Saccharomyces cerevisiae S288C: one gene and its partner. The protein of the gene in region 1 interacts with the protein of each later gene in a pairwise test. Each region holds a gene or a part of one and is shown on either strand. Other genes may lie near its edges.

The links.
Region 2: the proteins of FSH3 (region 1) and PEX9 interact in a two-hybrid assay, tested with the Saccharomyces cerevisiae proteins (one study listed by BioGRID).

The regions. Positions count from the first base shown.
Region 1 is NC_001147.6:844,325-847,690, reverse strand, and holds FSH3 (putative serine hydrolase), read left to right. Parts: upstream 1-1,898; coding exon 1,899-2,699; downstream 2,700-3,366. Other genes in the region: YOR283W (phosphoglycerate mutase), read right to left, coding at 1-238; PLP2 (Plp2p), read left to right, coding at 562-1,422; RFM1 (Rfm1p), read left to right, coding at 3,061-3,366. UniProt on the Saccharomyces cerevisiae protein: Serine hydrolase of unknown specificity.
Region 2 is NC_001145.3:308,134-312,321, forward strand, and holds PEX9 (Pex9p), read left to right. Parts: upstream 1-2,074; coding exon 2,075-3,619; downstream 3,620-4,188. Other genes in the region: SPO20 (Spo20p), read left to right, coding at 1-549; STB4 (Stb4p), read left to right, coding at 4,023-4,188.

The DNA of each region.
Region 1 (3,366 bases):
TAGTTTGCCTACACCTTTTTAAATCACTACTGACAACCTTATCAAAATGAATACCTCTTGAACGCAAGTAATGCCCCAATTTAGTGGCTTGTTCTTCTCCCGTAGGATTGATCGAGGTATCTTTGTGACCTTGCAAAATTTTTTTTACATTGTGTTCTGTTTGTCCATGCCTAATAATGAATAATCTGATGATGTTGTTATCGTCATTATCGCAATAATATGGTACTTCCTTAGTCATTCTTGGGTATAAATATATTTTTGGGTGCTTGTATAGCTTCGAGCTTCGTTGCCGCTTTGATCTTACAGTATGAGACTAATTCGAACCAGAATGAATAAAGCAATACTTTATGTTCTACAATTCAAAAAAGAATTAAGTAATATTGTGACGACCTGATTTTCCCATTGTATTAATATCGCTGGAAAAAAAATTACTGAAAAAAGAGGAAATCCCGCTAGAGGAAAAAAAGAAAAGGTTATATGATCGACCTGAAGAAATCTGCAGTACAAGATAACGCCTTCGAGTAAACATCACTGAGAAGAAAGGCATATTCAGCAGACATAATGCAGAATGAACCAATGTTTCAGGTCCAGGTGGACGAATCTGAAGACAGTGAATGGAACGATATTTTAAGAGCGAAGGGTGTAATACCAGAACGTGCACCTTCGCCCACTGCAAAGTTAGAAGAAGCATTAGAAGAAGCAATTGCCAAGCAGCATGAAAATAGACTAGAAGATAAAGACTTGTCGGATTTGGAAGAACTAGAAGACGATGAAGATGAAGATTTCTTGGAAGCTTACAAGATCAAAAGATTAAATGAAATCCGCAAATTACAGGAACGTTCCAAATTTGGAGAAGTTTTCCACATTAACAAACCTGAATACAACAAAGAGGTTACTTTGGCCAGTCAGGGAAAGAAATATGAAGGTGCACAAACCAATGACAATGGTGAAGAGGATGACGGTGGTGTCTACGTATTCGTTCATCTCTCGCTTCAAAGTAAACTACAAAGCAGAATTCTGTCTCATCTTTTCCAATCTGCTGCATGCAAATTCAGAGAAATAAAATTTGTAGAAATACCTGCCAATAGAGCAATTGAAAACTATCCCGAATCCAATTGCCCGACATTAATTGTATATTACCGGGGTGAGGTAATCAAAAACATGATAACGCTACTAGAACTGGGTGGTAATAATTCCAAGATGGAAGACTTTGAAGATTTTATGGTAAAAGTTGGCGCTGTTGCAGAAGGAGACAACAGACTGATAATGAACCGAGACGATGAAGAATCCAGGGAAGAGAGAAAATTGCATTACGGTGAAAAAAAATCGATCAGGTCAGGTATTAGAGGAAAATTTAATGTCGGCATAGGTGGAAATGATGATGGCAACATTAATGATGATGATGATGGATTTTTTGACTAAATAGTGCGAATATTCCTTATTTACAGGCTAAGTGGTGTCACTATCCCCATTATTTAATATATACAGATATAAAGAACAGCAAACTTTGTCATGTACTTCTCTGAATGTTTACGCGAGGATTACGGTATGTATGATTGAACATCGCTGCAGCATGGATTTTAGTAAGAGCCGTTGTCATGGCAACCAATTAAAGCTCTTTAATTACCGTCAAGCATACTTAGGATACAGATACAATAAAACCCCTTATTAAGTTCGAGCAGGCACATCTTGACAGAATAAACCTTTTAAATCGTCATATGGAGCATGGTCTGGTATCAAGTTTTACTACTTTTTCGCTTTGTTGTCAGAGGATAGAAATTTACTTTTTCTAGTTGTGCGTATAAAGAACACTATGGATGCAGTAATACAGAAAGTAATCTGTTCTACTTCGGTGCATTTTCAAACTGAATTCTACCACAAACCCCAGAATTATTATTATGAGTGAAAAGAAGAAAGTTCTAATGCTACATGGTTTTGTCCAATCCGATAAGATATTTTCTGCGAAGACTGGAGGATTACGAAAGAATTTGAAGAAGTTAGGTTACGATTTATACTATCCTTGCGCCCCACATTCAATTGATAAAAAAGCGTTATTCCAATCAGAGTCAGAAAAGGGTAGAGATGCTGCGAAGGAATTCAACACCTCAGCGACTAGTGATGAAGTATACGGGTGGTTCTTTAGAAATCCCGAATCTTTCAATTCCTTTCAAATAGATCAAAAGGTGTTTAACTATTTACGTAACTACGTGCTAGAAAATGGACCATTTGATGGTGTCATTGGATTCAGCCAAGGTGCAGGTCTTGGGGGCTACTTAGTCACTGACTTTAACAGAATATTAAATCTTACTGATGAACAACAGCCCGCTTTAAAATTTTTTATTTCATTTAGTGGATTCAAATTAGAAGATCAATCCTACCAGAAAGAATATCATAGGATTATCCAGGTGCCCTCTCTACATGTAAGGGGGGAGTTAGATGAAGTTGTAGCAGAATCTAGAATCATGGCATTGTACGAGTCATGGCCCGATAACAAAAGGACATTGTTGGTTCATCCTGGAGCCCATTTTGTCCCAAACTCGAAACCATTCGTATCCCAAGTTTGCAATTGGATCCAAGGAATTACTAGCAAAGAGGGTCAAGAGCATAATGCCCAACCTGAAGTAGATCGGAAACAATTTGACAAACCTCAATTGGAAGATGATTTGTTAGATATGATCGATTCCTTGGGTAAATTGTAATTCGATAATTGATATTTATATGAGCTACATACAATTTTTATAAAACTATTGAAAATATCGACGAGAAAAAGGAATAGTGTGACTTTTCTGCCGCCTTCTTTGACGTTTGATTTTCTATACCTGATTTATATCTGTTGCTAAAGAAAGAATTTTCGCGGCACACGAATGATATATATTTAACGTAAGGATTTCTTTTATCTGGCGGAAGTATCTCAATATATTAATATTAAACGCTGTTGAACACTATCCTAGGAACACTGACAGCTAGAAGTGATCATAAGACATTGCATATAAAATAACTATTAATTTTAATTAAAAGAATTTAATTAGAACAACAGGAAGGTGTTATAAGAAAGTGCGAATGAGTACAAATACGGAAATCATAAAAAATAGTGATTTGCAAAGTTTAATCAATGATAAGAGGAGGTTAATAAATGAAATAAAAGACTTTAATAAATCCATTAAACCCTTGGAGTTTGAATCGTATCAGGATTATTTCCTGATAAAAACGTTCAAAAAAGGAATATCTGCAAGTGGCCATGTGGATATTGACAGTTTAAGAAATAAAGAATATGGAATATACTACAAGAAAATCAAGAGGAACTCTACACAAGAAGTCGGCGAACCAATCCCTCGCAACACATCCTCCTCCTCCTCTTCTACTAGA
Region 2 (4,188 bases), on another chromosome or scaffold:
CAACTCACCAAGATCGAGAGCAATTGTGACATGCTTAAAATTCAATCTAACGTAGCCGACCGAAAGATTGACGAACTTGCCCATGAAAATAGAAGCCTGCTTGCATTAAAATCACCCAACCCCTTCAGGAAGAAAAGGGAGAGAGAAAAGCGAGACCAGATCTACAATTTGAAGTTAAAGCATCGTCACTTACAGCAAGAAACTATGAAAAGAGCCCAAGATTCTGACAAAAATTTAGCCATAAATCTAAGTTCTGAATATGGACGGTATGGCCAAGGGGTGGAAAGACAGCGTATTCTTAGAGATGCCCAGAAGTATCAGTTTGAAGCCGATGAAGAAGATAACCAAATGGAAATCGACTTGTACGGAAACCTAGAACAAATAAAAGCGGTGAGTGGTGACTTGAAAATTATGGCTCACGCTTTTGGCAGAGAGTTTGAAGCACAAAACACTAGAATGTTTGACATCGAGAACAATGTACAGCAGGCAGATAATGCTTTACAGGCCAAGCGATATAGATTGGAGAAAGTGATCGGGAAAAGATGGTGATCTGTTATACACACAAAATATCGTGTATAAATATATTGAATAAATAGTTTCTAAAAAGGCATACGCAGATATTCTTGCGAAAGAGAAAAAAAAAAGAGCGAGGGGGACATTAGTACTGAAGGTCTCAATTCTTCTTTGTATTTTCTTTCGGAGTTGTCAGACAAAGCTTTCTCTTTCCCATAAATAAAGTGCATTCAAACATCGGCAGGTTTGTTTTTCCCAGTTGTTACGTATTTGTTTCCCGTTCCATTCATGATCTTAAACTGGGTTAACTGAAAAATCAACATGATTTTGTGAAAAGTAAAAGAGGGTAAGAAAGATAGATACCGCTGTCGTGGGACTATATTTTTTACAGTACCAAGTCTACTTGCTTCTCATAAAGTTGATAAGTTATAATTCATATAATTTCATTTGTCAAAAAAGATTTTAGTTACAAAACGATATCAAAGTTCAATCTTGTTGGGAAAAAGGAAAACATTATGAAGGGTTTCCGGTAATCACTGCGTATGCCACACTATTCCTATAGAATTGTCTTGATTGGGTGCTTATGCTGCGGAAAAATTATATTCTGCGCTTGCCTTTTATATTAAGCGTCACAACGCCCTTACCAAGATCGAGCGGATTAAGACAAGAGTGTATCTCAAGCGTCCGTATATGTTTAAGTTGAAAAGGATATTTAGTAAGAATAATTCTACCCTACAAACGATATTAGTAAAAAAAAAAATCAATAATAGAGTTATTGTACAAACATGTTCTGAAAATTGGAAGCATCACATCGTATGCTACTAGAGAAAATTTTTACTATCCTTTTTTCCACAAGCCCAGCCCTAGCCCGATCATCCTATTAATTGTCAGACCACCGAATGCTATCCCGCCACGGTTGATATAACGAAACTCTTTACTGCTTTGGGTCAAATATGCCTCTTTTCCGCATTTTTTCGGAGTAGTTCATTGCCGCATACATACCGCAACTTGGACGAGGATGTCCTCCTTCTCTTACTTTTTTATTCGTTTCCAATTTGTTTCTCGTACCGTTCAAGTTTCAAGCCTACAAGAAATGTACACGACATGGATGCGTCAGCCTGATTCAGATATGACAAGATTGTTCCTGCGCATATGTGAATATGAGCGCACGCAATACATTGAGATCTTATTTGGGTTTGTAAGTGCAAACTTAATTTACTTTGCTTCCTGCCGGTTTTGATGTGCACCTGGGAACTTAAATAGCCGCCAAAAGAAAAGCAATCAGAGCGGCGCGGCGCAGACAAAACCCGAAGAGTTTCCTGGGAACGGTAGAGGCCTTGGTAGTACCTTACTAACGCCGGAGAGGATGATTGATACGCATTGAAATCGTACAGAAAACTTGGGGCAAAGCGCTCTTACCCCAATATTCTCACCCAAACAGTGGCAATAAATAAAGAAAAGGTCATCACTTTTTTTCGTACTCTTATCCGTTTTATTTTATTTTATTCTTTTTTTTTGAGTGGAGAATCATTAAGAATAAAGGGTACCTTTTGTAAGCACGATGAACGAAGTTACTTGTTCCATAACTGGTGACAACCCAATTCATAAGATCAACAATGGATTAGGCTTGAAATGGAATAATCTGGGTAAATTCTCTGATTTTCAGACTAACGATAGCGCCGCGCGAGATGCTAGAACAATAGATTACATCTTTACCAATTGTCAAACCGGCAGCAGTATTGGTAAGATAGATTTTCGGGCCGCACTACCGGCAGATAAATCTCAACATAGTGGTGTCAGCGAAAAAGAATTTTCAAGACTTGAGAACCAGTGGTCAAAGGAATTCTCTTGTTTCCCCAAGAATAAAAATGCTGATGTGACCAAGCCCAGTAGAAACAAACATGAGAAACGCTCCGCTAATTTGCACAATAGGTACTTTGCACAATATTATAGTACGGCATATCAGCAAAATCGTATATATCCTTGTCGAATATCTTACAATGAACACTCATCTGTTTCTAATGGCTGGGAATTTCAGTTCAAATCAATCGAAAATCAGTTACTAAATGAGCTAAAGATAGAAAACAATGTAGAAGAAAAAACTGTTGGTTATGAATATGTGGCAGAATACGAAGAAACAATTGATTTCATGCATATGCTGTCATCCGTACCACAAACATATCAATTCCTAAAATCAAACATCTACATAACGGAACGGGACCCATATAAAATAGGATGTGTACTAATGGACAACGGTTCCAATTTGAACGAAGTAGTAATGGCCTTTGAAGCAGCCATTTCACAAGATCCAAGCCATATAAATGCATGGTTGAAGTTAGGTATAGTTAATTTTGAAAATGAAAGCGAAAGCAATGGAGAGCTTGCTTTGCGAAATTGCTTAAATTTGGATCCAAATAATACAATTGCATTGGAAAACTTAGCAATTCACCATATAAATCAACAAAATGAATCAGAGTCATTGAAACTTTTTCACAAATGGATTCTTTCAAAATTTTCGAAGGTTTTCCAACCTTCTGCGGGGGAAAACAAAGATAGCATTAATAAAATTCCGAAAAAGGCCCATTTGGCGCATATTCTAGAATCCCTGTTGAATATGGGTATAGAAAAAAAAGATCAGTATGATATATATTCAGTATTATCAATCTTATATTATTCGGATCAGAAAATAAAGCAATCTCAGAAATGCTTAGAGTTTTTACTACTGGAAAAGCCCAATAATGGAACAATATGGAATAGATATGGTGCTATTTTGGCCAATACTAAGTCGTATCACTCTGCGATAAATGCGTACAATAAATGCAAACAACTAAGACCGAATTTTACAAGGGTTCGTTATAATTTAGCGATCGCCTACATGAATAAGGGTGACTATGTAAAAGCAAGCAAAATGCTAATCGAAGTTATACTGTTACGAAGTAAAGGATATGAACACAACAAAGCAAAAATGCAAAACAAATTTATGCAAAATTTAAAAAATGCTCTCATCGCTTCAAAAAATTTTGATTCACTTGATCTAATAAATGGTTCTCATAATACAGAATCGTTAATATCAACCTTAAAAGCTATTTATAACAAAATGGATTAGGTTTTAGTTAATTTTTTTGCTATATAGTGCATTCAAAATAAAAAAAATTAAAGCTGAAACAAACCAAATATGCTATTGGACGTTCGAAAAGCTAATTGCGTAAAGGAACACTAAACACAGCAAGCTTATGCTAGTTCTTCTCAAAAATATAAGTTCCTCTTGCAAGAATATGAAGGTAATTTCACTTTATCGCGCAAGTGCATATTTCTGAGTTTACTATGTGCTTCGTCTGAAACCTCTCATTATCTACTTAATATCGGCTATTCATCTCACGTATTCACGTAATATTTGATTTTTGTACTACTATTTCTCTCTGTCATACGTGCATGATACATTTCCTTGTTCAAATTAAAAGAGTCACCGTCAGCCTCTCAAAACAAAGAAAAAAGATACCCGGCTGAACATGAGTATCAATCATGAAATATATTATATACTTGTATTTGAGCATCGTTCAGTAGCAATCAAGCTCATCATCGTAGTGATTGTTCTCCTTCAGTTTTTTTTAGCACGAAGTCGGCAAATTGATAGGACATGGGCCCATACTAATAGAAAGGAACGGTTCAGAGAAA